Caenorhabditis elegans: one gene and its partners. The protein of the gene in region 2 purifies or fractionates together with the protein of the main gene of each other region. This does not show direct contact. Each region holds a gene or a part of one and is shown on either strand. Other genes may lie near its edges.

The links.
Region 1: the proteins of gst-20 (region 2) and pud-1.2 fractionate together in Caenorhabditis elegans (co-fractionation; one large-scale study listed by BioGRID). This does not show direct contact.
Region 3: the proteins of gst-20 (region 2) and hphd-1 fractionate together in Caenorhabditis elegans (co-fractionation; one large-scale study listed by BioGRID). This does not show direct contact.
Region 4: the proteins of gst-20 (region 2) and C32F10.8 fractionate together in Caenorhabditis elegans (co-fractionation; one large-scale study listed by BioGRID). This does not show direct contact.

Annotation. Positions count from the first base shown.
Region 1 is NC_003283.11:2,320,358-2,324,952, forward strand, and holds pud-1.2 (Up-regulated in Daf-2 domain-containing protein), read right to left. Parts: upstream 2,210-4,595; 5' UTR 2,183-2,209; coding exon 1,927-2,182; intron 1,881-1,926; coding exon 1,681-1,880; downstream 1-1,680. Other genes in the region: Y19D10B.6 (Peptidase_M13 domain-containing protein), read right to left, coding at 1-179, 228-338, 639-695; pud-2.2 (Up-regulated in Daf-2 domain-containing protein), read left to right, coding at 2,657-2,909, 2,956-3,167; pud-3 (Up-regulated in Daf-2 domain-containing protein), read right to left, coding at 4,277-4,595.
Region 2 is NC_003280.10:13,606,749-13,612,583, reverse strand, and holds gst-20 (glutathione transferase), read left to right. Parts: upstream 1-2,759; 5' UTR 2,760-2,858; coding exon 2,859-2,918; intron 2,919-3,772; coding exon 3,773-4,336; 3' UTR 4,337-4,430; downstream 4,431-5,835. Other genes in the region: gst-15 (glutathione transferase), read left to right, coding at 257-753; gst-24 (glutathione transferase), read left to right, coding at 1,290-1,428, 1,614-2,104.
Region 3 is NC_003280.10:12,992,915-12,999,435, forward strand, and holds hphd-1 (Hydroxyacid-oxoacid transhydrogenase, mitochondrial), read right to left. Parts: upstream 3,431-6,521; 5' UTR 3,334-3,430; intron 3,283-3,333; 5' UTR 3,279-3,282; coding exon 3,167-3,278; intron 3,092-3,166; coding exon 3,024-3,091; intron 2,975-3,023; coding exon 2,892-2,974; intron 2,838-2,891; coding exon 2,246-2,837; intron 2,195-2,245; coding exon 1,883-2,194; intron 1,833-1,882; coding exon 1,715-1,832; intron 1,666-1,714; coding exon 1,553-1,665; 3' UTR 1,448-1,552; downstream 1-1,447. Other genes in the region: Y38F1A.7 (uncharacterized protein), read right to left, coding at 4,130-4,390, 4,653-4,738, 4,788-4,890; Y38F1A.8 (Serpentine Receptor, class T), read right to left, coding at 5,186-5,376, 5,906-6,014, 6,094-6,200, 6,247-6,385, 6,435-6,521. UniProt on the Caenorhabditis elegans protein: Catalyzes the cofactor-independent reversible oxidation of gamma-hydroxybutyrate (GHB) to succinic semialdehyde (SSA) coupled to reduction of 2-ketoglutarate (2-KG) to D-2-hydroxyglutarate (D-2-HG).
Region 4 is NC_003279.8:5,821,595-5,829,038, forward strand, and holds C32F10.8 (alanine transaminase), read right to left. Parts: upstream 4,555-7,444; 5' UTR 4,486-4,554; intron 4,295-4,485; exon of another isoform or gene 4,126-4,294; intron 3,481-4,125; 5' UTR 3,480-3,480; coding exon 3,399-3,479; intron 3,239-3,398; coding exon 2,465-3,238; intron 2,325-2,464; coding exon 2,248-2,324; intron 2,198-2,247; coding exon 1,706-2,197; intron 1,635-1,705; coding exon 1,544-1,634; 3' UTR 1,388-1,543; downstream 1-1,387.

The DNA of each region.
Region 1 (4,595 bases), on a different chromosome or scaffold from region 2:
TTCTCCGAATCGTTCTTTTTGCTAATATATTCGTAATGCGTCTCGAAAAAATATTCTAAATCCACGGTGGCCGTATCCAGTGATTTAACCGTCATATACCATTTCATCAAGCGATCCGGCTCAAGAATCTGATCTAATGCGATGTAGGTCCCGTTATTCGGAAATGAGATGTTCGGTTTCTGAAAAATTGCTGGGTACTATAGGATAAATGGCAGGAAGCAAACTACCAATATCTCTCGATCATCGAATAAACTTGCGAAGTTAAGCTTAGTGATACTTCTGGTGTCATTTGTGCACACATAATCATAGAAGTCGTTGCAAGGATCCATACTAGCATTCTGAATACATTTTGTAGTTTGTAGTTTATTTAGCAAAGTCTTCCTGAATATCGACAAATTCTAGGTTAAAGTCTTGAAACTTGAAACAAAAAATGGGAAACCAAAAAATGTCGAAAATTTTGACGGTTTTTTAAAAAATTGAACAAACCGGGATCTCTATATTCTTGATTTTTTGAATAAGTCATTTTCAAAAAAAAAATCACTGTCAATTAGTGTTCGAACTTAAGTAGATTCAATTTGATAATACCGGAAAATTCTAAATTTTCAGTATTTTTTTTGTTTCTTTTTGTGATTACTTACCTCTTGTCTACTCCGCACTATAATAGAAATTAGGGTCAGTATCAACAAGAAGTTCATGCTTGGTTAGAATTAGGAGTAAAATGAGAAAAAGCATGTGTTCATTTGTACGCCACATGTCGGAGCAACCTTGTTCTTCAAGTTTATCATCTAATGTTAAAAATATCTCTAAATCGCGAAGATCCAGACCAATGCAAAAAAGAGACCGATTTTATCTTTTCAAAACTCATTAAAAAATATCAAACTTGGCAGTTTTGCTTAAAAATTGAAAACATCTGAAAAAGTCAAATGTGGAATATTATGAGTCTGTTTTCTAAATGAAGTTCAAAATCGATTTTTCGTAAGATTAAAAAAAATCAATTTGTCTCATGATTTTTCCAATTAGTACTGAATTTACCAGATTATTTTTTTGTTCAAAAAATAAAACCTGCACTTTTTGGAAATGTTTCAAACTTTAAACTACTTGAACTTGATAATGTAATTTTTTTACAAAGTTCTCAGGAATGATTTTCAGTCAACTATTTTATTCATTGGCTCGATTGAATCAAGTTTGAGACTGATCTGAATACCTGACCTGATTTTGTATTTTTATAAAAATATTTTTCAGCCAAATTAATAGACAATTTTCACTGACAACATTCGTTCAGTAATTTGAAAATATTTAGCCATTCGAAAATATGCACCTGGGTCGGGATAGCTCAGTCGGTTGTGGTGGCCGTTCGCAACCTGGGAGTCACGAGTGCAAGTCCTAGTTCCCATTTGCGCTGTCGTATATTTGTTATATTTGTAAAAAGAAATTGGACATAGTGGAAAGATAGAAAAGTGTATAAAAGGTTGAAACGGTAGATTTCCTAATACAGAAAAAGCTAAAATTCTACAATTACTGTTGATGACAATTATCTAGCTTCAATCAAAAATTAGCTTTGCTTGGAAATAGTTTTGAGAATGAATTTTATTTCAAAAAAAAAAGCTTAAGAAAAGTACTCCTACGAAGAATATCGCTGCTCAAACAGAAACTCAAAGTAACTACAAATAAAACATGAAATCAATATTTAGTGAAAGTGGTAGTCGATTCCCCACTTGGAGAGATGAAGTGAATTTCGGTTGGGAAAACACGGATCGTGGTAGTTTTTCCGTCATCTTCAGCTGTTAGCATATGCTGCTTCCATGATCTCGAGTCACTGATGAATTTCGCATGCTCTATGTAGGATTTCTTTCCGATTTGGTGACCTTTGTTATCCACTTCTGAAATTTCAAGTTCTTTATTCTCAAAAGATAAAACTCCACAAACCAGTTCTCTCCTGAACCATCGTACCATCCACTAGCCAATTGTCAACTCCAGTTGTCAAGAATCCAGTGTTATAGGCGACACTTTTGAAGATTTCCTTGACTTCATCAGGCTGGAACATCACAACATCAGACTTATCCGCATCCCATCCAGTGTATTTATGTGTCACTTGAAACTTGAAGTGACTTCCAGTCTGATTATCAATTGAAACCTTTGCAGTGCGTCTCGTGAGTTGTGGTGGAGTTGGATCAGTCGACATGATCAGTTTTCAGTCAAGAAACGATCTGAATTATCAGTTGATACGGTAACCATTTTAAACTAAACGAGGAGGTGGAGTTATTGATAAGGAATGCAAGTGATCTTCTCTCTTTGACTATTTTTGTGGTTTGATTGTTTGTGAAATTGATAAAGAACATGAAATTGAACAGTTTGCCTGTTAGTTTCATGTAGCATGAACTATGATCATGAAAATTGATCATAAAGTTGTGCTTTCTTTTGGTACACCTTTGGTTTCTTGACGTCAAAACCGCAGACACGTTGCTTGAAAATGACAAAGAACACAAAGTAATGACAGATAAGCATAGACCAAAGGTTTTATATCAGTATTGAAACATTATCTATTGACAAGTAATGTGCTTAACTCCACCCACTTGAACTGCTTTTTAAAGTCAGTTGGAAATACACGAAATCAATCGAAACTCAAGTGAGTCGATTCTCTTCAACGTTTCAAGAAATGGCAAGCGACGAACCATCAGGTGTGACAGAACAATGGGCCAAAGTGGATATTGAGAACAAAAGTGACCATGTGTTCAAGTTCCAAGTGCTTCATCAGTATACCGGCAATGCATTGGAAGCTTCAAAATGGGTGAAATTGGAGCCAAACCAAAGTGCCCAAATTCTGGAGAAAGTTCACTACAACACTGGACCATTTACAACTGGTACTGATAATTGGAAGGTTCATGGAATCAAACAGATTGAGACAAACTGTAAGTTAACTTATATTTTGATAGTTTTGAAGGAATTAATTTACAGTAGACGATAAGAATGGAGTGGTTGATGGAAAGGTTCGTATTCTCGGTGAAGCTTGGCGTAGTGGACATCCAGATGGGGCTGATTGGAAAAAACACACTTTGAGAGTAGAAGACCATGCCCAAACTACAGTAATCAAGGTTCTCGAGAAAGAAGTTCAATTTGTATCCAAGAGTGGAACATCGACTACTGACTTCTATAGACATGATGTTTAAATTTTCAGTCAATAATTCTTATCAATAGATTTTCTTTAAAAGTTTCAATAAATTTATTGTAATTTATCTAATATAATTTTTCATGCGTACCAATCAAACTTGAATTCTAAACCCTGAGCTCAAAAACAGTCCACTAGAAGTGATTTACACTTTCTGAAGTTTTCTGAGCGGGCCCTATAAAATAAAATACATTTTTGAAGAACATCATATCGAATCAGGAATTCTATTCCTTACCAGAGTGCCTACCGGTGCCTACACCTAATACGTAGTAGAGACATTAACCGTGTGAGACGTTTTACATTATGTACGCAAGTAAGTAATACAAATATGATTTTTAAAAAACGTATTGCGTTTGGAAATATATCGGCCTATTTGTGCTCAGAGACAACTTAATGTATTGAGGCAGATTGTTATGTATTGAGGCAGAACGAGGAGGCGAAGACGAGTAGTTTATTATTACATTAAACTAAGGAATAAATAAGCTAGTTCATAGAGTTCACGTTGTACGATCTTTTTAGCCACGTCGTGGGTCAATACACGTTGATACCCAACAATTTTGGTGTTACTGTAGGTGACTTCTTTGGTAAATAAAACTTCTCTGTTAAATCCTGTTACTCACTTTTTTGATCTTCACATACCCCGGTCTAATTGAACTCGAGTCACTTTATTTTCACTTCGTTTCTTCTAATCCCTTCCCCCCGCCCATTTCTCATACTCGAGTTGAAATCTTTCAGGGTTTGTCTCGGTTTATAAGTTTATTTTAAAACTAAAAAAGGTTTCTGATTCAATATAACCTTTGAATAGACATCACACTCCGTTCTGACTGAATACCAACTAATTCTGCCATGTATTCCATATCAGCAAACCAAAAGAGGCGGAACCGGCATATTGCTGACAAACAATTTTATGATCTTTCTCCTTCTCATTCTTCTTATCAGTACTTTGTGGTTTGGTTCAATGTGTTGCGATTTGAAAATACAAAGAATTCGTTATCAGTGTTTATAACTCTATCACCAATAAAATATGAAGTTGGCAACTTTAGGTTAAAGTCCACAAGAAATTACAATAATCCATTACAAATCTATTCACCATTATAACTCGATAATTATTCACTGCTTCTGTGGGTTTTGGGAGAATGGGAGGATGTTTTCTCCAAGAGTGTTGAAAGTGGTAACCGATCGTCCACTTGGCGAAATGAACTGAACCTCAGTCTGAAATACCTTGATCACAGTTTCCTGTCCATCATCATCAGCTCTTAAAGTGTGCTTCTTCCATTTAGCAAAAGCTCCATGCCCCGTACTGTATGGAAGTCCGTCGACAAAGAACTTGCCGAAGATATTTCTAGCAATAGTTCCTTCCGTCTCGACCTGGATCAATTTAGTGCCATGAACCTTCCAGTTATCAACTCCAGTTGTGAAGAATCCGGTA
Region 2 (5,835 bases):
TTTTTTTCGTATAAATAGAAAGTCACTACATCCAGCTTTAGGGTTTCATAAGATCTTCAGGCGTACGCGCCTACTTTTTGCCTGCCTGCCTACGTGCTCTCCATTGTGACTTCTTGTTTAGCGCAGATTTCAAATATTTGTGTTAAGTATAAAATGTTCGATTACAAACTGAGAGTATGAACACACGATGGCAGACGTAGGCATGTAGGCAAGCGTGCCTACAAAGAAGACCTGCCATAATTAATTCAACTTCCAGAAACCCCATTTGGTCAGCTCCCAGTACTCAACGTTGATGGCTTCGACATCCCCCAATCTGCTGCAATTTGTCGATACCTTGCCAAGAAATTTGGTTATGCCGGAAAAACTCCAGAAGAAGAAGCGTGGGCGGACGCCGTTGTCGACCAATTCAAAGACTTCTCCGTTGCTTTTAAAACACTCCTTTTTGCCACAAGGGCCGGGAAACCAGAAGAAGAAATCCTCAAAATCCGCTACGAGATTTTCAATCCAGCTCGAGATGTCTACTTTATTCTTCTCAATCGAATTCTCAAAAAGAGCAAGTCAGGTTATTTAGTTGGTGATGGGCTCACATGGGCTGATCTAGTTATAGCTGATAATTTGCACAGTCTGGAGAAGCTTCGAGCCATCGATGATGATGATGAAGGACATCAGAATTTGAAAAAGTATAAGGAGAAAATCTATGGAACCCCAGATTTGGAGGATCATATTGCGACGAGAATGGATACAGAAGTCTAAATTTTGAATCGCGTTGAATTTTTAAAAACTGTGATAAAAGATAATAAACATATTGTAGTATTTTATGCGGATATTTTTTTACCGAAATACTTTTTTTTGAAATAATAGTGCGAGAAGTGCAACAGGGCTCCATATGATTTTTCAGTACTTTTGAATTTTTGAAAAAAACAGCTTTTGATGTATTTTCTGAACTTTTTAAAATAATCTTCCGTACAAGTTAGCAAATTTTATTTAATATTTTTTGGTATATTTTATCATGCTAAACAGTTTTATAAAAGAAAAATGAAGCACTTCATATGATTTTTCAGTACTTTTGAATTTTTGAAAAAAAAACAGCTTTTGATGCATTTTCTGAATTTTTCAAAAATTTTTCCAATTTTCTGACTTTTTGTTTTGTGACCAGTGTTTCTTCGCAAAAACACAAACCACTCTTCTATTTCTCTATTTCTCTCACTCTCCCTCCCCTCAATTTCGGAGATTTTCGAAACGACTTTGTGTATATAAAGTACTACTCAATCATCTCCCATCAACAAACAATGCCACAATACAAGCTCTACTATTTCAACCTTCGTGGATGGGCTGAGCCGGCTCGGCAGCTCTTCAAGCTGGCTCACGTCGAGTTTGAGGATGTTCGTATTGAGAATGGAACTCCAGAGTGGGGAGCGTTGAAGCCAAGTGAGTTTTTGAAACATTTTTAGTGGTATTTGTATAACTGTCACGGATTTTGAGAATTTTTTAAAAATCAGATACGGTGGTCCACTCTAAGCCTAAGCCTATGCCTCGGCCTATGACTATACCTAAGCCTAAGCGAAAGCCTAAACCTAAGCCTAAGTCTGAATCCCAACCCAGGAATCTTCCAGAAACCCCATTTGGTCAGCTCCCATTCCTCTCAGTCGATGGCTTCGAAATCCCCCAATCCGCTGCAATTCTCCGCTACCTTGCCAAAAAATTCGGCTACGCTGGAAAAACATCAGAGGAAGAAGCGTGGGTGGATGCAATCGTAGATCAATTCAAAGACTTCGTCACCCCACTACGCCAACTCATCATGGCTCAAAGATCCGGAAATGCGGAGGAAATCGAGCGAATCCAAAAGGAGGTCTTCGCGCCGGCCCGGGATACATTCTTCAAAATTCTTAATGGAATTCTTGAGAAGAGCAAGTCAGGATTCCTAGTCGGAGATGGTGTAACTTGGGCTGATCTGGTGATAGCTGATATTTTGACAACTATGGAGATGCTGGGAGTGTTTGATAAGCACGGAGAGGAGCAGAAGCTTGCAGCGCTCCGTGAGAAGGTTAATGAGATACCGGAGATCAAGGAGCACAACTCGTCGAGACCAGATTCTGTTGTTTGATATATTATGTGTATGTTAATAAAGATTATTATATCATAATGAGTGATTCTAAGGTAGGTAGGCACGCTTTCAGGCTGCCTACCACCTAAAAAAGATGGTTTTGACAGTAGGCAGTAGATCAAACGTATGTCTGTTAGAAGGCAAGTTATCTAGGCACGAGGCAGGTGTAGTTTGCCTTGAAGGCAAGCGGGCAGTCTGTGGCCTACGTAAAGGGTCTAACATAGACAGTAGGCATGGGTGTAGGCACAAAGAAGGCGTAAGTCACACCTGGGGAGTTTGCGATCAAAAGAAACATCCTGCCGTCAAATAAACCTATGCCTGGCTGCATGCCTTCCATACAAGCCTGACTAAATGCCTGCAAGGTAACCTATGTTTATCTGCATACCTACAAGACTGCCTATGCCTGCCTGCAAGCCTATGAAACTTTTGAACTTTTCGACAGAGATCATTCTAGAAATCCCATATTTTCGAACAAAAAAGTCATGTTTGTCATCATTTTTCCTACAAAAGACCATGAATCGTCGCCGCCATATCCAATTACAAATAAATCGAATTATCTTCTGAGATCAATATCAAGATGGCAGTGACCTCCCCGCCGCCATCGCATAAACCACGTTGTTTCCCCCCGTCGGGAAAAGAGAAAAGAGACGGAGACACGTGGCATGGGAAGTATAAAAGGGCGGACAGGGGGACACTGGCAGACGACTATCAGTTGTGTGTTGACTGTCTGTGATTGTGCTTGCTCTTTTGTACGATGGCCGAGTACAAGTTCTATTATTTTAACGGACGAGGATTGGGAGATGTTTCTAGACAGGTTAGTGTGGTGGCCTAGAAAATTGAATTGGTGGCCGAGTTTTTTCTAAAACTCGGTAACGTAGCAAATCACGGCACGATCAGCACGAAAATGTTATTTTTACGATTTTTCGACATTTTCAACGTGGCCTAGAAATCAAGGAAACTCGGCCACTTGTCCAAAGTGAGTACGTTTTTTTTTGTTGAAAATCCGCAACCTAGGAAGTTTTTCGGCTAAAACCATGACATAGAATACTGCTGGCCGAATTTTAGCTTTTTCTAGGCCACTTTGCTTCCAGGCCACCACGTGGTGTCAGGCTGTCCTATTACGGTTTGATCTACAATAAATGTGGGAATAAATTTTTTTTGCCCAAAAAAATGTGACGTTAGCACGTTCTTAACCATTAAAAATGCGTCCAAATTCCCGCGATTCTCGTAGATCTGCGTAGATCAAACCGAAATGGGACACTATGACACCACTTGGGCCGCGTTTGCAACAGTACTCGGTCTCGACACGGCAATTTTTGATAAATGAAAAAAGGTGTGCGCCTTCAAAGAGTCGATTTGTTAAAATGTTAGTGTTTTTTCGCAAAACAATGTGAAAAATCGATGAAAATACTACCGCCTGTTTCCAGTTACAGTACTCTTTACAGGTGCACGCCTTTTCGCAATCCACGTGGTGTCAGAGTGTCTCATTTTGTCTTGATCTACGTAGATCTACAAAAAATGCGGGAAGTTGAGACGCAGAGTTCTCAACTGATTTTGCATGGTTAAGAACGTGCTGACGTCACATTTTTTCGGGCGAAAAATTCCCCCGTATTTTTTGTAGATCAAACCGTAATTAACACATTGGCGCAAAAATCGCAAAATTTCCAGCTCTTCGCCCTATCCGGCACCAAATACGAGGATATCCGCATTGAGCATGCAGACTGGCCAGCTCAAAAACCCAAAATGCCCTTTGGCCAAATGCCCGTGCTCGAGCTCAGTTCGGGACTCCAAATCCCACAATCCATGGCGATCGCCAGGTACCTCGCCAAAAAATTCGGCTATGCCGGAAAAACCGACGAGGAGGCAGCGCTCGCCGACGCCCTCATCGATCAGTTCAAGGATTTCTACGCGGAGATCAAGCCATACTATTACGCGAAAATCGGCGTTCTTCAGAATGACACCGAAGAGGAGAAGAAGAAGACGCTGATTCCAGCTAGAGACAAGTTCCTGACGATTATCGGGAAGTTCCTGAAGCTTAGCATCTCCGGATTCTTGTTCTCCGGCGGACTTACCTATGCTGATTTGATGATTTGTGATAATATGAGAACCCTAATCGCGTGGTGGCCGGAATACTTGAACGAGTACCCAGACATCAAGGCCTGGTACCAGAAAGTCGATGGAATCCCGGAGATTCGCAAGCATCTTGAATCGAGCCCGGATAAGGGATTCTAATCATTTTCTGAATATTCTGATTTTTTCGCTTTGGCCAATGGAGCAAATAAATTTGTGTGTACTTTTCCTTCCCATCAGACATAAATCGGAAAGACAAACATATTTTAAACTGTTCGAAAAGCATCAAAAACCACATTTCTTGTTAATTTTTTGTCGCACGCCGTCTTTCTGAAAAAATATGCTCAATATGATTTTTTCCGGCAAATCGGCAAATTACCGGAATTTAAATTTACGGCAAATCGGCAAATTGGTATCCGGCAAACGGCAAACCGGAAATATTATATTCCGACAATTTGCCAATTCACCGGAAACTTCAATTCCCGCACTGTGCCGGTTTGCTGAAAATAATCAATTTCGGAAATTTTCCTATTTGCCGGAAATATTCAATTCCGGCAATTTGCCGATTTGCCGGAAATTTTCAATTCCGGCAATTTGCCGATGTTCCGGAAATATTTACCGTATTTCTTCTATTAATATGGCTGCAATACTATTTTTCGATGGCCTTACCGCTTGCAATACTAATAGGGAGTGCAAGACTAATAGGGAGTGCAATATTAATTTTCAGAACATTTTTCTGACTTTGAGCTTACAATTTTTTGCTGAAAAACTAGTTTCTTATGTGAAAATTCAGAAAATTTGATTGTAATTGCAACAAAAAGGTACAATAACTTCAATTTCATAGAAATTTTACCAATAATTGTTGCAAAATAGGCAACAAATGTTGTTTAAATCTCAAAATTAGTGAGGTGGGTTTGTACCAAAAAAAAGTAGGCAAACCCTCATTAACTAATAGTCTCATTTACCAAATCACTCGTTTACGTAAGTGGCTCATTTACTTCGACGTCTATTTTACTAGCAATTTCACTTTCTCTCGTTTACTGAAAAAGAGTTCATTTACTTCAAGGTCTAATTTACTCATTTTTTACTCTCAGTCATTTACTAAGAAATAGTTCATTTACTTTGAACTCAGATTTACTAACTTGCTGACATTTTCTAATTTACTACTGTTATGGTATATTTTTACATTTATGCAGTTTCAACATATGATGTTTCTTAGAGATTTCATTTAAAAAATACCGTGCGATATCCTAAAATGAATTCGTTTTTTGAACATGGTAGTTCTACTGTACCAAAATTTTTTACTTAATATTGTTTTCAGAACAAACTAGAAAAACAACGACATTCGCACGTTTTTTTGGCAAACACTCTTTGACTACCTTCTCTTTGACTACCTTTTGCTCTTTGACTACCTTTCGGCTCTTTGACTACCTTTTGCTCTTTGACTACCTTTCGGCTCTTTGACTACCTTTTGCTCTTTGACTACCTTAGATCTTTGACTACCTTTCGGCTCTTTGACTACCTTTTGCTCATTGACTACCTTAGATCTTTGACTACCTTTCGGCTCTTTGACTACCTTTTGCTCATTGACTACCTTTGCTCATTGACTACCTTTATCTAATTTTTCAGAATTTTCAGTTTTTTTCGCTGAAAAATCAGAA
Region 3 (6,521 bases), 610 kb from region 2:
CAAGCCTCCTCCCAAAAATTAATCATTTCTATACTAGAATTCCCACTTGCTTCTTTCATCTTTTTTCCAGATCCCTCTTGCTCAATTCGCTTCCTACACCCAATTCTGATGACCATTGAAATTACTTGTATTGTACAAAAATTCTCGCTGTTTCGATGATTACTTTTTTCTATTTGTGAAATAATAAAGATTCCCCACAACCACCAAACATATATTTCACTATTTACCCGGAATCACCATATGACGTTGTTTGACCCTTCGAGGTTGTGACGTCACACAGACCCCCACTTCTAGAGTTGCGTCAAACTGCAAGCTCGTGAAGCGAGCACTTATTCAAATCTTGACCATAAGCGCAACATACATTATTAGCATCTGTTGATGACGTTGAGCTTGCGCTAGTAGAAGATCAGAGATATGTGAAGCAGGTGGACGGGCCCCTTTTTTTATAAAACAGTGCAAAAAAATTTGTTTCTTGTGACGAAATTGAATTTTTTCCAGCAAATCGGCAATTTCTGTAATAATAGACAAAAAGCAAAGTTATCTAAAATCTCCAAATTGTGCTTGAAAATCGGAAAACCGCTTAGTTTTCATCTGGAACTTGTCTAGAACTGGAGAAACACGTGGCGTCAGTGTGTCCCATGTCGGTTTGATCTACGTAATTGCGGGAATTTAGACGTAGACTTCTGAACTGGATTTGCATGGCTAAGAGCGTGATGACGTCACATTTTTCTGGGTTAAAAATTCCCGCATTTTTGTAGATCAAAACGTGATGGGACAGCCTGGAGAAAGTTTTTCTTACAAGCCAGAACACCTACAATTAAAAATTGCCAATCTGTTATAGATTTTCAAATTTTTCAAAAGTTGTAAAAAATTTATTGGAAAAAAACCTTCTTATCAATTTTTCAAATATTTTAAAAGCCATAAAAATATTTTTTTAAATTTTTAGCAAAGTCTCAAAATCTAAGTTTTGTTTTCAAAAATATAGAAATTTTAAAATTATTTGTTAAGTTTAATGTTAGAAAAGTTCGTGATGACATTAATGATAATGAGATATGAAAATTGACCATTTTGCCAACGAATTCCTAAAAAAATTCAACCTTAAAATATGCCAAATTTCCAAAAGAACCCAGTGTATCGCCGTACCTGGTCTCCAAAATCCTGCTATTCTCGACAATTCTCTCAAAACATACATAGATCCTTGATAACAGCCAAGGCCAAAAAGCTTTCAGCAACAAAATTCAAATATGCCGGCACGCCGCGCTTCAAAGGACATTCCTACGATTGTTTGCGTGTCGCGTAGTAATGTTTCTTCGTTCTTCCCCGCCTCTAGTCATCCCTAATTAGTACAGTAAGCCGGCAATATTTAAACGGTTCCTTGAAGAAAAACGGGGGGGGGGGGTGAAGGATTCTAATTATTCTGGTGACACCTGGCGCCATTGTTTTGTTTCTGTTTCTGTTTCTTTATTTATTCTAAATACATTTACATTGAACATAAGAAACAATAACGTATATGGTACAACCAATAATAAAATAAGTACAATAAGAAAAATGACTAATAAACCGTAAGGGACTTCTCGTACAGAGTGCTGATAATTTCACGATCCGCAGACTTTGGAGAGATTGCAATATTTGGGACGGAGTGGCTGGCTGCTTCAGTAAGCATTTCTGAAAATAGTATAATATAAGGCAGTTCAACTAGAGAGAGGTGTTCTACCAATATCAGAAAATTCGAATCCCATTCCTTTCAGTCCATTTGGAACTCCAAAGTCTCGCATATAACCTCTCAGCCGATCACAAAGAGTTCGGGAAATGTACTCATTGCTGGCATTGTTCTGGAAATATCTAGTTAGTTCAGAACCATCTTGGTGGCCAATTTACATACCGGAATATCTGCACCAAGAGTCTGTGCAGAAATCAAATGTCTATCTGGGCACGCGGCAGTTGTAAACTCGAAATCAGCCACTGCGGTTGTCATTACAGAGAGTCCATGTGGAATCAAGTTCTTCTCCTTTGGATAATCATCAGCCACACAGCTTTTCGCCTGGGAGCTGATTGGGTAGGAGAGTCCGTGGCAAAGATGAACCCCAGCGTTTCCGAATCCAATCCCAGCAAATGAACTAGCCTTGAGCATTTCTGTACGAGCTTCTTCGTCGGTTGGATCGAAGATAGAACGGCGGAAGTATTTTCCAATGATCTGAAATTATATAAATTCATTTAGAGCTTCATGGTTGAAATTCCAACTCACTCTCAAAGCCTCTTTACTCCAGACATCACTGATCGGGTTGGAACCTTGATAAAGTGGACGAACTCCTGGATTCTCAGGGCGTGGAGATCTTTGATCGAATGGCAAAGCTGTGAAGCTTTCCAACGCGTGACAGAGAACATCGAAACCAGAATAGATTGCCACGTTTCGAGGCATACTCATCACATTCAACGGATCCACAACTGCCAAGTACGGCTTGATGCAACGAAGTCTGATTCCAGTCTTGCACTTGTGCTCTGGAAGATCCATGATTGCAGCCGCGGTAGTCTCGGATCCAGTTCCAGCAGTTGTTGGCACAGCGATCAATGGGAGCATTGGGTTCTTTGGTTGCATGGATTTTCCGAATGGTGGTCCAACAAAGTCGAGGAAGTCCGCTTCTGGATTAGAAGCATATAGAGCTGCAGCCTTCGTCGTGTCGATCACAGATCCTCCACCAACAGCGATGAAACTATCGAATTGCTTCGATTTGGCAAATGCGATTGCTTTCTGCATACTGTTGACGGTTGGCTCAATGAGCACATCATCAAACACCTCATACTCGATATTCACCATTTTTAAGGCTTGCTCGGCGTTTCTAAAATTTGTCTGTTGAATAATTTTAGAGCTTTAAAGCTTTCCTATAACTCACTTAAAAGCGATCGTATTCTGCACATTCTTATCAGTGATAAGCAACGTTTTCTTTGCTCCGAGATTACGGACGTCGTATCCAATCTGATAAAGTTCACAGTTGAGTTAGTGATGTGTGATATTGCTAGCAAACCTCCAACGTGACTCCTTTTCCGAAACGAAGAGTTGAGCACACCATCTCGAACGCGTAATCTGTTGACTCTGAAAATATTGGTTTTTTAGAAAGTTTTCAGGCAGGCACGCCTACCTGCGTGCCTGCTCGGGTAAAAAACTAACTGTTATTTCCATGAAGCTTTGCAAGTTTGAATGGATTTGTAGCTGGGGCATGGTGAGGACAGCATGAGCCGCCCATCTTGCTCAGTATTCCACGTGCCAGACTTGCACTCATTTTGCTGAAAAAAAGAAAAGTATAAAACAATTGCCACGTGCCAACAAAAACTCACAAATAAAATGTCGTAAACGCAATGAAATCGAGAAATAAATTGATTCGTAAGGTTTTTATTTAAAGAATTTAATTTTTAAATTCAATAAATAAATCGCGCCAACAATAATTATTATCACGTTTATGTACAAACACGTGGAGAAATAGAGAAGAAAACAAGTGGAATGGAGGAGAGAGGAGAGACGCAGACGGGCAAACAGCAGTGATCAGTTTTCGAACATTAATGTGAGGGGAAGATGGTTTGATCTGAATAGACTCGTGGGCACAAAAGTTGAAATTTTGGCTTGCAAGCTAATTTCAGCTTTTGAAATCTTGTTTTTTTTTTCAGAAACCAGCAAGATGTCGGCTGCTAGAGGCGCTCCAAAAATTAAGATTTACAGGTTTCTAAATTAGTATTTGAACCCGGAAAGTGTCGGCTGCAAGACTATTCTTTCAGTTGTCTTGGACGGGCCGACGTCTCACGGGTTGCTGAAGCTATGAACCACATGAGCTCAGTTGCTGGTAGAAGCTTGTAGTTGTAATCTTGTACGAGATTCGAACTCGGAGATTAGTAAGAGTTGGAAAATGACAAATTTTAGATCATGAAGAAAAACAGAAAATCGCTAAATTTGTCAAAACGTCTCTGAAATTGGCAGTCTCCCCCGCCCTAGATTTTTCAGGATTCCAACTTTTCTCATGGTTATGGCTGTTTTCAGCCTCCAAAGTCATTTATTACACATCCATAGTTTACAACAGAAAAACACTAGAATAAACAAAAAATAAAATAAAAACTAGACATCGAGTTCACTTCTGAGCTTTCACGGATTCGCATTGTAGAAGACATTCTTGTTCGGCTGCTCCGCTTTTCCAGGTGGCGCCATTGCAATGTAGTGAACCATCGGAGCAAGTTGCTCCGGCTCCATCAAAATCTCAACTGGTTTTGGAGCAGAATCACCTGCCTTTTTCGGATCCTTTGGCAGAGCAAATGCAGATGAACCATTGGGGTTTTTGTCGAATTTCTCCCGCAGCTCGTTGAGGGCATACTCGGTTTTTGCCTTGTAGTGGAATCGAATGAAGAGCTGGAAAAGAGAGAATTAGATAGATTTTTGGTAAAATTTTTTTGTGTGCATGAGAAACGCTAGCCTATGTGCCTACAGTACGTGCCTGCAATTGTTTAAAAAAGGAACAAGAACTTTTGGATATGAAAAACGTAGAAAAACGATAAATTGTAGTTCAAAATATCTCAAAAACAAAAATTCCTGCTCAGGCGTCGAAGGCGTAGGCAAGTAGGCAGGCATTTTCATATTCCACAACACAATAATCTTGTAGCCAGAAACTCACATGAACAGCTAGAAAAATGACAATCATGACCAGGATAATAGCCATAAAAACGTCAACTGTCTCCTGAACTTGACCAGTCACAACACCTACAATTTTCAGAACTGTTAGAGTATGAGATATTGTGGACAAGCTCACTCAATCCATCACTGTACGGGCCATTTTGAGGATCTGAAAATCCAAGGTTTAAGATGTTGAAGTCCAGGAGTTTTGGCTCCAAGTCGAGCAGTAGTGGCTCCATAATTTGTAACTTTTTTCAAAACTCACAATAGCTATTTCTGACGAAAGTGAGGTTAGACATCCTCCTCGAATTGTGAAAACTTTGGAAATACATTTTATTTCCATTTATTTGGATATATCCACGTCAGATTATTTTTGTTGTTCCAACTCATTCTCTTCTCAAAATATAAAATATTTTTTAATACAAATTACACGTTTTTATTCACTGATTGTAAAATTGTAAACTATATGTACAAACACTGGATTGGGGAACCCGTTGAAATCGAGGTTTAAAATCTACAGAAAAAATAAAAAGTTTAGACGAAATCCTTCCGAGGTAATGCTGGAGCCATTTTCGTCACTGACTTGTCAAGCTCGTTGAGATTGCGCTGCACACTTTTGATTCCGATTGTGATGCGAGTTTTGGGGAATTCAAAGTAGGCGATTGAATAGAACAAGGAATTACAGCCAACTTCAATTAGTTCAGCAAGCGAGAAGAGGTTGTAGGCTGAAATTTTTATGGTTTGAAATTTGGAATTTTTCAGGGAGGCTTAAAAGCTTGAAAGCTTGGAAGGTTCTACATATAGCTTAGAGTTTTATAATTTTACAAGATTTTACTCTAAGGTAGGCACGTGTCCGTGCCTGCCTACCATTTTTTTTCTGATCAAAACTTTTATTATTAGAGGCCAGGGAGACATGGATTAGAAATTGGTTTCAAACGCAGAGTAAGTTGTAATACATAATTTTACAGAGTTTTTCAAAATCTTTTCATATAGGCATACACAAATGTTGCCTGCCTACTTTCCATGCGGCCTATGCCTGTCTAGTGCCCACACTGCTAAAGTATGAGTGAATAAATCAATTAGGATAATATCTAGAACTTTTCAAAGCTTAGAAGCAATTAAAAATCACTAAGTAGGCATGTAGGTAGGCAGGCTTGTGCTAGATACCTGCGCCTGAAAACGTGCCTGCCTTTCATGAAAGTTCAAAATTTGATTTTCAAATCACTTAGACCAAACAATACCAAAAAACCTTACCATATGGGGAGCAATGTGCTGTAAAATATGGGTACGTTATAGGCGTTGATATGGCACAGAAGTACCCAACCAGGAAGATGACGCATTTTATTCGCCATGTGGTTTCCATCTGAAAATGTTGGATTGAAGTTTAACTGGAGACTTAAATTGGAAAAAAATAGAAAATTTGCTCAAAAAAGGTTTCTTACCGTATCATGAACATCCCTGCAACCTCCAAAATGATGCAAAATGATATTGAACAACATGTTGAAGTTGAAGCAAATGATCCAAATTGCAAAGCCAAGAGCGTGAAGGACTAAGATTTTAATTCAATATATAAGTTGTTACCGTAAAGAACTTACTAAATCCCCCATTAATATCCACCACCGATACCAAAACCAATCCTAACGGCTCAGCCCAAAGTGTTAGCATATAGACGTAGTTGACTCTGGCGTACCATACAGATTTTGGAGCGGAAATGAGGAATAAGCGGCGGTAGAGCTGAAATTACAAAGATTTCAAATATCTAGAAGCGTTTAAAGGTACATACCATCAAGAAAAATAACCTGGGCGGTACATGGATAAACATTATCATCATCCAAATGTATTTCTGGGGCTGCCATATTCCGATGGAGTA
Region 4 (7,444 bases), on a different chromosome or scaffold from region 2:
GAAGCCAAACAACTACGGACCCAGCGGTAACACAAGTAGCCTATAATGTTCTCATACGCTGTAAAATAATATTTAAATTCAGCTACAGCACTGTAGCTACAGTACACCTACAGTCCCTAATCCAAAAACATTTCGTCATTGTAGCTGGAATATATCGACCAAAAAGTATTGCTGTAAGTGAAAATAGTTGTACATCTCTTCCGGAAAGTGAAATTTAAAGGTTTTCTGAAAGACACACACAGTCAGAATAGAAATTTGATAGATTATATCTAGATTATGTTTGTGATTAAATCAGTACATGGCTGAAATCTAAGCAATAGTGTGACGTCATAATTTTTCAAAACATTAATTAGCCGCCAAGTTTGGTTCTTTGTAGGTCAATTCTTTTGCTGGAACTCTATGCTCATAACCCTCTTTTGGGGTAACATTTCATTTCTGTAACCCCTATCTATAGAGAGGCTATGTGTCAGAGAATACTATAATAGTACAGTAATATAGAGGTTAATGAAGGATCTTTAATCCATCCCCAATTTAGCACAGATGGTCGAATACATTCTGACAGAAGGGAAAGGTCAAACTATAAATATCGATTTATTCTGAAAATAGACAACGATTGGGGTTATCTAATCTTGATTCTTTTCAGAAGGGATCATCAACGGCCGAGCTGTCAATTTTAATTTAGCTAATGAGAAAACATTTAGTGACGAGAATCATTGCTGGAAATATTCTAGAATTCAGTATTCAAAACCGTTTCTAAACTTAAGTAAGTAATTCGAAAATTTCGCAAAATATATGTATTGTTTGATATTTTTTTGAAATTTTAAGACTTTTCAACAAAAAAAAACATTTAAATTTGTTAACAACAATTTTTCCAACTAAGAATTGGAAATAGTGTATGAAAATTTCAAAAATAAATTGAAAATACCAAACAATTCCGAATTTTCCGAACCATGTAGTTTTCCAAGAAACCCATTTGGAGGTAATTTTTGGTTTTATAAGATTTTAGATAGACAGTGAAGAATACTGCGATATTTCAAAACTGCGTAATCTACTCCAGTTATCTCGAGAGCCCATTTGTTTTCCTCCAATAAACTATCATTCTGTGTTACGTCAGTCGGCAACATTGTGTGTGTGCAGGCAGATTGACCTGATTATGTAACGTTTGTGCAACAGAATATTTGGTCATAAACTGTCACAGATTGGGCCTCCGTTTAGGTGAATTAGAATCTGCTCAATTGGATCGAGTGGAATGCACATTGTGTTGAACGGCGGTTCTGGACAAAGACCTTGTATTTTGGGAATCCATCAATAAGAGTGTGCCAGAAACTGTCTGAGGTCCTATTGTTTGTCAGGTGAAAGTGGCAGTATAGTCTTCTACAAAAAAAAGAATGTTAAAATTCATCAATGCAATAATTAAAATTAATCGAATCTACACAGTAAACGCATTTAGACCCTATCATATTGGCTATGAAACAAAAAGTGACATAGAAGAAAAAAAGCTGAGAAAATTGAGAAAAGAAGAATATTAGACATTGTTCAAAGTCTACTTGTATTCGGCAAGGAATTTTTGGTGGAAATCAGTGAACCGGGAGAGCATGTCTTTGAAGAGTTCTGGCTGTGGAAGAATTGTCGTTCTGAAAAAATTGAATTTACCAACAATGAATCTAGATTTATTGTATTAAATGTGAATTAGAGTATCACAAACCTGAAATGATAAGTTCCGTCTTTTTGTCCAAATCCACTTCCTGGCACGATACAGATTCCGGTGGTCTCAAGAAGTTGCATAGCATAGAAGAAATCAGGTTGTTGGTTCAAAGACTGAGCTTTTTCAACAGCTCTCTGTGGAATCGTGATTTGCGGGAAAGCGTACATGGCTCCTTGAACTGGATTACAGCTGATTCCATCAATGCTACTGTATGCCTTCTCGACGAGTGTAGCACGTTCCTTAAGAGAAGCAAGTACTGCATCCTTTTCTTGTTTCCACAGAGCATACGATGCATCTCCTTCCTTTGGTGGATTCACAACGGCATCAATGACGGCTTGTCCGAGTACTGTGGAGCACAATTTGGCAGAGATCATTTTTTTGAAAAGGACATACACTTCTGGGTCGAGATTCAAGAATTCAACATATCCTCCACGCATTCCGCATTCTCCCATGTATCCTTTGGATACCGAATGGAAAGAAGCCAATTCCATTCTGCAAATTAATATTATGAGTTTTTTAACTGCTTAGGAAAAAAAGCTCACTTATTGTATGGCTCTCCCATCTCCACAAGAACCTTCTTGAATGAATGGAATTGCGATCCTTGAGCGTAGACGTTGTCCTGAAGATGATATTTTAAATCTCATTATTTTAATAGAAAAGTGTGATTTTCCTCATTAAAAAATATGGTTTATGATTTAAAATAATTTTAATTGAAAATAGTGGAAAATTATCGAGTGTAAATTTTTATCGAAAACTTACTTGATAAACCTCATCAGCCATAAGGAACAGGTTCTTCTTTTGTGCAAACTTGATGATAGTCTCAATATTTTCACGAGAAAGTGCTTGTCCGGTAGGATTTCCTGGATTGATGATACACAAAACTCGAATATCGTATTCTTTGCAGTGATCATTGAAAGATCTTTCAAGTTCAGCTTCATCCATGGACCAATTAGACGATTCACTCAAATAGTATCCAACTTGTCCAAGTCCGAATTCTTCGATAGTGGCAGAATAGAGTGGATATTGTGGAATTGGAATCATGACTCCGACTTTCTTTGCGTTGTTATGATTGATAAAAAGTTTGAGAACATTTCGGATTGATTCAGAAGCTCCTCCAGACAAGCAGACATCTTCTGAATTGCATGGAATTCCTCCATCACGTCTCTTAATATACTCTGCCACGTGTTTTCGTACAATTTCCACTCCCGTACTCTGACTGTATGCTCCAGCGGATTTTCCTCCACAACTTCCAAGGAATGCATTTGCATGTTCGATAACATCAGATGGAATTGATTTGTCCGTTTTCATGATCTCTGGGTTGACAATACACGCGAGGAGCTGGCGAATGAAAGTAATCGGCTTTTGACCCATAGCATGAGCATCTCCAATATTAGCCTTGATGACATTTGGGAATGGCTTCTGAGCACCGGTCGCAAGCTCTTTTTCAAGCTCCACGGCACGGATCACGATTGGTCCACGAACAGCATACTCCATCTTGATAACATTTGGATTGATGTTGGAGGTGTTCAAAGTCTGAAATTGAATTTTTAAAAATACTTTGTTCAAAAAATACACAACTATTTCGAAAACGATTAAAATTGCCAATATTGTAACAACTTTTAACATTTCTGAAATTTTGCTATTCAGTGTCCATCTGATTCCTGACACATTTTGCAAATTAATAAATGCTCACCTTTCCGCTAGCCATGATTCTAGTGGATGTGCCGAAAAAGCGACTTGTGACGAGTCCGGAAATTGCTTGTACGGTTCGCATGCTGTAAAATTAAAAGATCGAGATATAACAAGTGAATTGAAAAGATATCATTTCAATTGCAACTAATTTAAAAGAAATGTATATGAGGATAGAAGGATAGACAGTGATAACTGGGTGTGATTGATAACGTCCACGAGTGAGAGAGACAGTAAGTACTCAGAATGTTCTACCGTTTGCACGAACCTAACTTTAGGCCGCGTGTGTTTGTTGGTTGAGGACGAGCTGAGTGCGCGCAAAAAGCAATAAGTTGATAGTTTGAACTTAATGAGCAAACAATGCAGAAAATACAGTTTCAGAAAACAGTAAATATAGGTGAACATTTAAAAAAAAGCCGTATTGTAATATATTATAATAACATTTTCCCTTTTCTCCGTTTTTTTCAAACTCTATCCCGCAGCACAAAATTTTAAACTTAAAAAAATGTGACACCGGATTTACGTACAAAAATTACATTTAGTTTCCAATAAATAAGTAGAAATCTTGATATCAAAGAGATTAACTGGTAGAAAAAAAGCTTTTCATAGTCGGAAGGCGGGGAAAAGGGGCAAACAAATGCCAAGTGCATCTAATTCTTTTCTGTTTTTCTCTCGGTTCTATCTGTTTTCTATCTCATTTTTTCATTGTTCTTGTCTTGATTTTCCGTCTCACACGTGTTCCAGCGTTTAGCAAAATAGGCGTTATTAAGAATTGTTAAACAACGAAAAATCCGAAAATTGGTAATAATTTTCGGTAGAGCAAATTTAAAACAGAAGTTTGAAAGAATCAAAATTCGAGATAATCACAAATATAACAATTTAACGAAATTAAGTTTTCTAATTCCTTCATCTTATCCACTTTCTACAGAGAGCCTAACCAACTTATGTAGAAGTTTTTTCGCAGACGTTTTTTTTTTGGAAAATCCCGACTTTAAATAGGAAAATCTAAACATCTATTTTATGTTGTCCAAACAGTCCAAAATACTTTCTCAGCATCCAATACTTCACGAGTTCAATTTTCTAGAACTTACCAATAAAAAAGCGAAGTGTTGAGAGTGGAAGAGAGAACAGGCGATCGATGAAGTTTTTCGCACAAGCTGCTGAAACAAATTATTGTCTCTTATCGACAATTTCACACATTGATTGGGCAAAAAAAGAAGATTAAAAATAGAAAAATGTGCTGGAAACAAAGATCACAAAAAACACAAAACTTTTTTTGTGAAAGAGAATAATTTAGAGAACAATTAGTAGAGCTTGAAAATATTTTAAAAATGGCTAAAATGTTTAGAAAAATAATCAATAGATGCGAGTTAAATATGTTTGTAAAAAGAAGTACAAATTAAGTTATTCAGAAATTTGGAAAAACCTCAATATTTAGCTTTTTTATAAACAAAAAAGGATAAACATTATTTTTTGGCAATATAAAAAGAAACCAAGAATCATGGCCGCTTTGAAGTTTCAATCAATTTAAAAAACGAAAAAAGGCAGGTCTTGTTCTTCAGATGAGGCACCTTGTTTATTCTTTACGATGTAATGCTGAAGAACGAGAAAGAAAGGGGCCCCGAGATGGAGGAAGGGACTGAAAAACAACAAGAGAGACTGAAGAGAGGGAGAGAAATATTGGGAGGAACGAAATAAACCGACAGAGGACTACGTGCCAATGGCTCGATTTTTGAAACTGGTTTTTTTGGTTTTCGAGAGAAAAATGATGATGGAGGTCTATTGTGATCTAGGAAAATAAGGATTGACAGTTCAAAGTCACGTGGCATTGAAGAAACGGTCCATTGAACACAATTCCGTTGGAGATTAAAAGTCAAATTTCGATCAAATTAGATAACGATTGTAGAAATTCGAAAAAAATTCGTTGAAGAAATGATGTCGAACTTTTAGAAATAAAACAAATAATTAAAAACCATCTTCAGCGTCAACAAAAAATATACAGGAAAACGAGAAAAGCTTCGTTGGTGTGGTAGATTACAAGACAAAGATTTTCTTGAAACGTTTCCTAACATTTAGTATTAGCCTTGAGTAATATTACGGAGGAACATCAGAAAAATAAACCCCCACTGATCATAAATTAAAGACCAATTCTCATATCACAAAGTTCTTTCCACCCAATTTTCTGCCCAGAAAAGGGAAACCGAGTCACGAGTGCACATTTATTTATATTTTGTTTTCGCAACGCCTCTGTGTCACTTTTTTGCTCTTCAATATAAAATCATCTTTTCTACAGATGATATTTTCTAGATGTTTCCTAACCGACTTTTCAGTTTATATTCAATAAAAATGAATTCCAAAAAAGGTGCGTGCTCATAAATTCAGACAGCTTGAGCAGCGAGCGCTTTTCTTTTTCGATCAAACAACATATTCCATCAAATTTCCCGAAACAACTCCGCCGTTTCTCTCTTTTAAAATTGTCTCCATCGTGCTCTCATTTTTCAGTCTTTTGCCGTTATTTAGCAGCATAAAACCTTTCAATTATATTAAAGTTTACCATGAGAAGAGAAGAACAAGAAAAAGAACAGAGATTTTCAGATTAATCCCAAGGGGATCGGCATTTGAAGCTTTATCCCGCCATTTCCCGTTATTTTTCCTAATCTACGTCGTATGTGACACGATGTTTTACTGCTTTTTCATTGAATATAATTTTTCATTGAATATAATTAATTATTTAAAATCCATTTTATAACAATTTTACCAAAGATGAAAAGAAAAACAAAAAAAAAAGACGGAAAATGGAGCATAAAAATGAGAAACAACATCTGGGTCAAAAAGTTTTAAAAAAATACACAGTTTCGCTGTAAGACCCAACAATAAAAGTCGTGCGCCTTTAAAAATTTATTCTAATCGATGTGAGACCTAATGCCAAGCGGTCATGTGCCTTTAAACTTCATACGGTATTGTTTTTTTGTTTTTCAAACATTTTCTTATGTATTAATCAATTTCCTGAGCAATGCTTATCATTTATTCAATTTTTTCATTATTTCTTGTTAAATAATCTTCTCAAATCGCTGTAAAAATCGTATATAATTTTTTTCATATTGCGTTTTCAGGGCTCATGAACCTATTAAAAATTTTAAGAACTTTTCAAAACTTTCCTTACTTCTACTACAAATCGGCATTGACGAAAAAATGCGCGCAAAGCCTCAAAAACCAAGAAAAACCACAAGAAGACCCAAAAAATATTTGCATAAGCATAAATATCGCCCCGCTTCGCACAAAAAACGTGTCAGTATTGGTGCCCGGCCGGCGCGCCAATATTCTCTTCGTTCTCTTGCTCTTCTCGTTCAGATTCATGTTCGTTCCTTCGGAAAATGACATTTATATTTTTATTCAAAAAATAATCCATCGAAATTATTTAGGTTGAAGCAAATTTTATTGCGAAACGAACTAGACAAAACATAACTTGTCAATCGATCCCCTTCACGAAATGCTCATTAGAACTATCTTTTATACTTTATATTGAACAGTTAAAAAATTTCTGCAATCAAAAGAAAATCCGTGTCATGTGTCTATTTCAGTTTCAAAGAGCGCTGAGTCCATATGCTGAGCTTATACTCCTTTTAATATAAAATAATCTCTCTGGATACGTTGTCAATCACCTAATAGTGTTTTTCAAATATTTAGTTTTTGACATCTTATTTGAAAGGATACTTTTTTTAAAAACAAAATTCCAGAAAATTTATCCTCAAAATATTAATATTTAAAAATCAGTAAGCAATTAATTTTTGGAATATATTTTTATCACAGCACTTTGTAAATTTTCCAGAATATTTTGTTTCGTTAAGCTAAATCAGGTCGAGTTTTGTTGTTTCCGAGAATGTTTCGCCTATAAAATAATCCAATAGATCAAGGCAGAAGAACCATGCCACGTGTCATTTCTTATCTATGTTCTCCTTTTTCTTCCCATTTCTCTTGCATTTCTCTCAACAAAATGTGCGTATCGGTATTGGAGGCCAAACACGAACCCTCACACCTCCCGCGCGTATT